2 linked regions of the Cricetulus griseus genome follow. The protein of the gene in region 1 purifies or fractionates together with the protein of each later gene. This does not show direct contact. Links are inferred from orthologs where the notes say so. Each region holds a gene or a part of one and is shown on either strand. Other genes may lie near its edges.

The links.
Region 2: the proteins of Dcaf10 (region 1) and Cul4a purify together in Homo sapiens (affinity purification with mass spectrometry; 4 studies listed by BioGRID and IntAct, with this or other methods). This does not show direct contact. The link is inferred for Cricetulus griseus from reciprocal best matches to the Homo sapiens genes DCAF10 and CUL4A.

Annotation. Positions count from the first base shown.
Region 1 is NC_048595.1:98,108,412-98,113,220, forward strand, and holds the start of Dcaf10 (DDB1- and CUL4-associated factor 10), read right to left. Parts: upstream 3,106-4,809; 5' UTR 3,025-3,105; coding exon 2,474-3,024; intron 1-2,473. UniProt on the Homo sapiens protein: May function as a substrate receptor for CUL4-DDB1 E3 ubiquitin-protein ligase complex.
Region 2 is NW_023276807.1:67,647,546-67,651,710, forward strand, and holds part of Cul4a (cullin-4A), read right to left. Parts: intron 3,057-4,165; coding exon 2,938-3,056; intron 832-2,937; coding exon 639-831; intron 1-638. UniProt on the Homo sapiens protein: Core component of multiple cullin-RING-based E3 ubiquitin-protein ligase complexes which mediate the ubiquitination of target proteins. As a scaffold protein may contribute to catalysis through positioning of the substrate and the ubiquitin-conjugating enzyme.

The sequences.
Region 1 (4,809 bases):
GGCTCAGCGGTTAAGAGCACTGACTGTTCTTCCAGAGGTCCTGAGTTCAATTCCCAGCAACCACATGGTGGCTCACAACCACCTTGAATGAGATCTGGTGCCCTCTGCTGGCATGCAGGCAGAAGACATAATAAATAAATAAAATCTTAAAAAAAAAAAAAAAAAAAGCTCTGGGGCTGGAGAGATGACTGCATGGGTAGAGATCCACCAAGGCTGAGATCCGAGTTCCATCCCTGGGACCCACATGGTGGAAGAAAAGAATGACTCCTACAGGTTGTCCTCTGACCTCCATACAAGTGCCTTCACATGTAAGTCATGGAATGCACAGAAACCTGTATGAATATGTGATTCCTTTAGTGCTAGCACTTGGAAGGCAGAGGGAAGTGGATCTCTGTGACTTCAAGACCTGCCTGGTTTACAAAGTGAGTATCAAGGCAACCAGTGCTACTATGAGAGACTAGAGATCTAGATAGATAGATAGATAGATAGATAGATAGATAGATGAACAGAAAAATAAATAAATTTCCCTGCGAGAATGAAGTCTTATTCAAATAAGAACTATACGTAATATAGACCTCATTCTAACAGTCCTGGCAATTTGAATTAAATTTTTCATAATTCTAGAATCACCATTTCCTATTTAAAAATTCTACCTCCAGAGAATTGGCACAACTACTACATCCCCCCCCCCCCAACAGGGTTTCTCTGTGTAGCCCTGACTGTCCTTAGACTCAGAGATCCACCTGCCTCTGCCTCCTGAGTGCTGGGATTACAGGTGTGCACCACCACACCTAGTAACACAGTACTTCTTAAATCTTGAAAGTATAGGGTTTGGTAAAAGAGGGGTTGAGCTACAGAAAAGAGAAGCACAGACAGTATTTGGGGGAGAGGAAGACGCTTTAAGAATAGTATATAAAAGAAGAAGTTTCCATGAATAAGCTTCAGCTAAATAAAGTTTGCTTTTGAATTCAGGTATGCACCCACTGATAATAATCCAGCCAACTACCATAACTAGAGATTCTAGTACCAGGTATAATTAGAAAGAAGCACTGAGGTCAATGAGCCACAACAGGTTTTACTTGCTCAGTAACTGTGTTCCAATGCTTCTTTCTCAGCATATTCTAGGTCTTTCTCGCTATAAATTTTTTTTTGTTTCATTATTTCCATTTCTTTTTTTTTTTAATGGTCCAAGGGTGGGAATTGCATTAGGGGCTCTTTTTTTTTTAAGATTTATTATGTATACAGTGTTCTGGCATGTTTACACCAAATCTCATTATAGATGGTTGTGAGCCACCATGTGGCTGCTGGGAATTGAACCCAGGTCCTCTGGAAGAGTAGCCAGTGCTCTTAACCCCTGAACCATCTCTCCAGCCCTATTTCCATTTCCTTTAACATTATATGCTAATATTGCCCTTCAGCATGAGTTCACATTCTTACGAAATACATCTATTCTTTACCCAGCAGTCTTGATTCGTTTATCTCCTGCAATGTTTTTTCTAATCTTGATCTAGGTGTCACTTTTTCAGGGTAACCGAGCTCTGCGGGCTTTACGCCTTTATCTCAGTTTGCTGGTGTACACTGTGCATTACTTGGAATCTCATATCCAATTGAACTAATAGAGCCAGGCTCGGTAAAAGGAATGTCATTAAATAGTTTTACGAACCACTGCTATCCATGCATTTGCAACCTATTAAGTGTTCCAGGAGCATCTGGTTAATGGGGGAATGAATGAATGAATGAATGAATGAATGAATGAATGAATGAATTAACGAAGCAAAGACTAGCAACCCTGAGGCCCGATGTGATAAGGATGCTATTATGTCATTTGAGGTAAAACCATGAGCAGTGTTTTTCCTCTGCTTGTTGAACTTGTGCACTCACGAGATAAAGTATTAGACACCGGTTAGTTTTGAAATTTTCCTATAGCTTGAAGTAAACCAAGAGTAAACAAATGTCAGTCAAAAACAAAACAAAGCAAAACAAAAGCTGCATTCCTTAACCCAAGCATTAGCCTATCCCACAAATGGCCCAAATACTGAGAAACGTATTTCTGCAGTGTCTTAGTATCTTTCTAGAGCTTCCGAATGTCTTCTCAAGGCAGGATCTGGCACAAAGTCCAAAGATGCTGCGAGCTTCCTCTTTGAACATTTTAACACAAGCTCAGCTCAGAGAAGGGCCAACCGAGGAAAACAGCGAAACGGTGGGCATTATTTAAAGGACATTTAGTGAGCACCTACTGCGTACCAGAAAGTCCTACTTGTGGACCGGCTCTGGCAGACGTGCAGCGATGGCTTAAGGCATTTCTCTTTCACCGAGCCTCCAGGACCCCGAAGGGAAGCACTGGGCCTGCCTACCTCAGAAGGCCAGCACGGAGCTCATAGGCGACAGACAAAGTGCTTCTGAAAGTACCAGGGGCACGGCCACAAGCCGCCCTGAACCGAGGGAGCCAGCTGAGGCGCAGGCGCTTGCTTACCCGTCGGGCGAATACTCGAGGTTGAAGACAGCACCGTGGGTGCGGGTGCTGAGGTACACGGAGTCTGCGGGGTGGATGGAACCATACAGGTTAGTCATCGTGCGGAAATTGTCCCGCGCCGGGTCCACGAACAGCCCGCGGCCGAGGCTTCGTTCTCTCAGCCAGCCGAACAGTCTGGCGCCAGGGCCGCTGAGGCCCGCGCTGAGGCCCTGCCGGCTCCGGTTGCCTGCCCTGCAGTCTGGCCTCGAGCGCCTGCGCGGCGAGGAGGACGGTGACAGCTCTGCCTGCGCTGCAGCAGCGGACAACTCCAGAGCTCCGGGGGCCGCGAGCTCTCCGGCGCACTCGGCCGGGGACAGTGCGGGGCCGCCCGGGAGGCGAGGGCTCCGGGCTGCCGGCGGGGGAGGGGCCGCGTCAGCTCCCTGCCTTGGAGGCGCCGGCCGCGGAGCTGGAGAGGGCGGTCTGGAAGCTGCCGCCGGCCCTCCGAGAGGCGGCCGCTCCTCAGCTCCAGCCGCCCCGTCCCCGCCCGGGCTGTGGGGCCCGAAGGGAAACATGACCAACGCCCCCGCCCCCTATTCCGGGCCGCTGTCCCGCCGCCCGACAACTCAGCGCTCCCGCTCCAGCCGCCACTTCCGGGTGCCGCGTCCTAAACTCGCCGGCTGGGAAACCCGCGTCACCGCTAGGCTGCCCTCCGTCGGGGACCTAAAATCAAGGACACCGCTGAATCGGGAGCACCCCAGGCCAAGAGGACTGTGAGGTCAAGAGCTAGTAGCCCTCTGTGAGCAATGTCGGACGCATAAGACCAGCTACAAGCGCTGACAGTCCGCTCGCAGCTGTCAGTGAGCCTGACCAACCAGGATTACCTACTGTTGTCCTTACACCGAGATTGGGCGGGGTGAAGGGGTGGGTGTTTTACTGTATTATATGTAGGTCACACAGTAAATCTCATGGCGTACTGCCTATCAGCTTAGAAGTCTAAAGATTCAAGAGCATTTGCACGTGAAAAATCACTGGACTGTATAGTGCCTGGAGTAAAGGAAACTATCGGTGCCATAAATCTCTGCCCAAATCTCGGCTACTGCACAGTCAGGTATATCTTTATCTATTTCAGAGCCTTCTTTTTCTTTTCTTCCCTGCAAAAAGGACGTACGTGCAGTGAGGAGTAAGTAACTGAGGGGAGCTGGAGGGCTGAATCAATTCAACCCCACAAAGCAAGAGCCTAATGTCAGTCAGCCTTGCTCATAATGCATCTGCTGAGCACTGCACTAAGGACCCCCAAGGATAGGCCTTTCTCTGCTGCTGCTAAGGGCAAATAAACCTGTTTTCAGGGAAAGCATTAACCGGGAATGAAAGTTTTCAGTGCAGGGAATCTTTAGTCCTCAAAGAGGAGAGCTTGAGGTAAGAGGAACAGCAGATAGATATAAGAACTGACAAATTGTCTAGGTCTTCTTCTTTTTTTTTTTTTTTCCCCGAGACAGGGTTTCTCTGTGGCTTTGGAGGCTGTCCTGGAACTAGCTCTTGTAGATCAGGCTGGTCTCCAACTCAGAGATCTGCCTGCCTCTGCCTCCTAAGTGCTGGGATTAAAGGCATGCACCACCAACGCCCTGCTTTGTCTAGGTCTTCTTAAGGGCAGTGTATTAGGAGGTTCACATCTGGTAACTGTGATGGTAAATCTGGAGGACGATCTAGACTGTGAAGATAGACCTGCAAATCGTCTGGAGAATGGTAATTAGATAGTTAATGGTTGAACTTTCAGCAGAAAAATCAGTAAGTCTCCATTTAGTTTGTATTGGCTCCAGATAATCATACTTCACAGTTCAGGAATTCAACATGAAAAACATACCAAGGTTCCAAAACCATTTAAGAGTTGTTCACTGGGTTGAGGCGATGGTTCAGTGGTGGTACACTCACCTAGCATGTGTGTAGCCCTGACTGTAACCCCTAGTACTGTAGAGAAGACAAGACAAAACACTGATACAAATTAAGGCAAGAGTGGCAACACGGAGAATAAGTAATTTACTAATGCCTGGTTTTTAAAACATTTGTATTTAATATGTGAATACTCATTTATTCCAAATATTTTTACTAAAGCCTAAAAGAGTATATTATGTAAGACTAAAACTCTATAACATGAGTAAAAAAAAATTGAGAGGGCACTAAAAATAGAACTAAAATTTAGCTTTTCACTGTTCCTGTTGTACCCACCTTTGAGAATCTATACATTCAACCATATTAATAAAGAACTGACTTCAAATCAGTCTATATTGACCAACTTCTAGGTAATAATACCTTGTGGAAAGCTAAAAAATTTTCAACCTTAGTATCGAAAATTTAATTAG
Region 2 (4,165 bases), on another chromosome or scaffold:
TTAAGATTTTATTTATTATGTATACAGTATTCTGCTTCCATGTATATCTGCACACGAGAAGAGGGCACCAGATCTCATAACGGATGGTTGTGAGCCACCATGTGGTTGCTGGGAATTGAACTCGGGACCTCTGGAAGAGCAGTCAGTGCTCTTAACCTCTGCGCCATCTCTCCAGCCCCTGTTTTTGTGGTTCTTTTAAGATGGGGTTTCATTATGTAGCCCTGGCTACCCTGCAACTCTCTACATAGAGCAGGCTGGCCTCAAACTCAGAGGTCCACCCGCTTCTGCCTCCTAAGTGTTAGGATCAAAGGTGTGTTCACCACCATGTCTAGCTTTCATTTTCCTTTTTTTTTTTTTTCCCTATTGAGAGGTCTCACCTGCTCACCACATGGAGAATACTCAGGTTAAAGGCATGTACCTAGCACTCACTCTTAAAATTAAAAAGCACCTAAAAGGCCAGAATGATGGCTCAGTGGGTAAAGATGCCTGCGGTCAAGCTGAGTTCAATCCCCAAAACCATATGACTCAAAGACCCCTGAAAGCCCTTTGACTTCCACTTGAGCAGGAACACATGTGTACAATATAAAACAAATCTTTTTAAATGTAAAAAGGAAAAGCATCTAGAACTGTTTCACTACCGATGAGCTCTGCCGGCTTGTTTGGTCTTTTGTTGATGAACGTCTCGAAGGATTCTTTCATCAGGTTGATAAAACGCTCATTCCTCTGGAAGCACACCTCTACCACGTGGTCTACTTTGTCCTTAAAGTCCAGCAGGTCTTGGACCATGTCTTTATCTTTCTCGGGATTGATGACAATGGTTGTCCCAAAGGTCTACAGAAAGAAGAAATAACCAAGTCAGCAACAGGCTTAAGAAGCCAAAGTGAATCTTTTGCTGTCTCTCAACACAATGGTAGGCGCCTTGTTTTCCCACTTGATACTGGCAGCACCCTCTCTCCATGTGGCCATGAGCAGGTGGTGCCTGGCATTCAGAGAGGTTCTGCATCAGCCCCAGGCAACACTCCTGGAAGATGCTGAGTGGTGCTGTATTGACAAGTGAGGGACACAAGGCCTGGAAAACAAGAGGTAGGAACTGAGGTCTTAAATTGGAGTTAGAAACACAGCAGTAGGCAGACCAAACTGCTGTGCCAGTGTGTGTCGGTTCACAGTGAGCAGAGGTTACTGCTGCCTGGGGAGTCAGTGCATGCTATGACTTTTTTATCTGAGGGGGCGAGGGAAAAAGACTCTCACTCTTGACAGTTTCCTTCAGACCTTTTCTTTATTCTTCTTTCATATTGTCTGTTTATTTTCCTGGTGATTTCCTTCTCTCATTCTTGATGTCTTCCTTCTAATTCATTTTAATTCTGTCTTTATTCTTTCCCTTATAGCTTATATACCCCAGCAAAAATTTTCAGGCAATATAAAAGTTACAATGTGGTGGTTATACCCTATTTTTCAAGTGAATGATTACAAAGAATACAAGTAAGAAACAGCATGTTTTCCATACATGATTAAACTGCATTATAGGTAAAAAACAAATTATCCTAAGAACTCACGTACATTCACACTCAAGCAACTTTTTTTTTTTTTTTTTTTTTGGTTTTTTTTGAGATAGGGTTTCTCTGTATAACAGCCCTAGCTGTCCTAGAACTAGTTCTTGTAGATCCAGCTGGCCTTGAACTCATAGAGATTCTCCTGCCTCTGCCTCTCGAGTGCTGGGATTAAAGGCATGCACCACCACTACCTGGCTTTGAAAGGTAATCTTATAAAGAATCTTAAAGGACTCACAAACCTAAACTTTTATATATGAAAAAGAAAATCAGACAGCTCTACTTTAAATCTTGAGGGTGCATGCCCACTCATCAATAGTTTGTTGTTTTTGTTTTAATCAGGAGATTAAGGGCAGAAATGGGTATAAGGAGTTAATCATCACCTTTGGTCATCAACCAATCCTAGCAAGAAAGGTATGTCAGCCAATGATAATTGGGCTGCTTTGTTCTTGTTCTCTGACCTTAATGAATTGTTCCTCATTTAGCTATGTGTCTTTCTAAAACTTCAGATTGTCTTCTTGGGTTTTTCACCTCAAAGTTATTTGACTAGAACAGCTTAGTCTAACTTTTAAGTCATTTTCAAAGCTTTGTTTCAGCTATGATGTACTCCAAAACCTGTGAACACATCTCCTAACATAAAGGTTAATAGAATTTAAGCTAGCTGGTCTACTGGAAATTAATTGCTTTTCTTAATCATTAACCTAAGTCACAGAGTTTACTGCTCCTCAGTAGAAATCCATTTGCTCTAGCTGTGTGACACTTGTTTGTTTTATATCACCCAAACTCTATTTAAACTAATATTATTATCAATTAGACAGTACATCTTAGGAAAACTTCATTTTCACAGTAATCCACAGGTAAAAATGCCCAGTAGAGTAACACGTTTCCATGAGATAAACACACAATGTTACAGGCAGTGGGGATCTCCTCACACCCATTCACACCATCCATATACCAGAGAAAGATGGCAGCAGCAACCATGTGAAGGCACAGAAGAAGCAAAAGACACTCTGGGGTCTGAGATCTTGGGGCCTTGCCTATCCGAGATCCACAATCAGGGATTTTCCTCCTGGTGGGCTGACACTCTGAAGTCACTGCCACCTGCTGCTCCTCTGGCATGACCACCAGCATTCATGCCTGATGAGCAGACACACCAGAGGCTGCTGCTGTAGCAGAAACAAATGTTTACATAGATGGATGCACAGCTGTTGTCACTACACTGCAGGTGTCCACCCAAACAGTGGCCATCACTGTTGGTGTCATCATAGAAGAGCAGATTTTGCTCAAGAGAAAGCATTCATTAGGTGATCTGGAAGATGGGAAAGCAGATGATCCCTAGCAGTAGCTCATTTCCCTCTGCAGGGTACAGCATGCAAGCACCAGTGTATACCTTGATGTATTCACTCCAGTGCTGCAGTAGAGCATGCTGTCCTCCTTTCACCCGGCTGAACAGCTGGTACATCTGTGTGAGGTCAGGCACCCTATTCTCATCCAGCAGGTGGTCCAGCCCTAGTAGTGTGTAGAAGAAGAACAAGTCATAGCAGGAAGCAGCAGCATTCGTGAGTGGAAACAGTATCATCCACACCACACAGTCAGGACATGGCTTGCAGACCTGGAGCACATACCTGCTATGGAGGCATGCCTGTCCAGTAGCCTACCTGAGGTGGCTCATATAGGTGAATCTCATTTTTCTGAGTGCATTGTGAATGTATTATTTATTTTCTCATTTCACTAAAGCCATTATTTAACAAAAGTAACGAGTCAAAAAATATTTAGAGCTAAGTGGTGGTGGTGCATGTCTTTAATCCCAGCACTCAGGAGACAGAAGCAGACAGAGCTCTGTGAGTTCAAGGCCAGCCTGGTCTACAGAGTGAGTTTTAGGACAGCCAGGACTGTTACACAGAGAAACCCTGTCTTGGGAAAAAAACAAAAAACAAAAAACAAAACAACAACAACAACAACAAAAACTTTAGGCGAGTATTTGCCCTGAGAAATTTACAATGCAAATTATCATTTGAAGTTTTGTCTATTAGTCAGAAAAAAACATTTGTTAAAAGATGGGTTTAGGTGCTGGAGAGATGGAGATGGCTCAGCAGGTAAAAGTACTTGCTGTTCTTGCAGAGGACTCAGGCTTGGCTTCCAGTCCACATGGTGGCTCACAACCATCTCTAAGTCCACTTCTAGGATATCTGATGCTCTCTTCTGACCTCTACTCTCTTCTGAACACTGTAGGCATTGCATACATATGGTGCATATACATATATACAAGCTAAACACTCATACACATAAAAAATATATAAACTGTAATTGATTCTAAATTTAAGTTTCTAGTTGGTTGATTCAAATAATAAAGTGTAAGACAAATAAGTATTTATCAGATGTCTTATGTATTCAATATGGAATTTTAGAATTTTTATTCAGCTATTTAAGTTTTATAATTTTATTATTTCATATTCATGAGCATTTTGCCTGTAAGTACATGCACCATGTTTGTGCAGTGCCTGCAGAGGCCCAAAGAGGGCACCAGTGAGGCCACCTGTAGACGTGTAGACAGGTGTCTCCACTTGGCAGTGTCTGCACACACAGGGGTCAAGGCGTGTGGAGGCATCCCCTGTGCT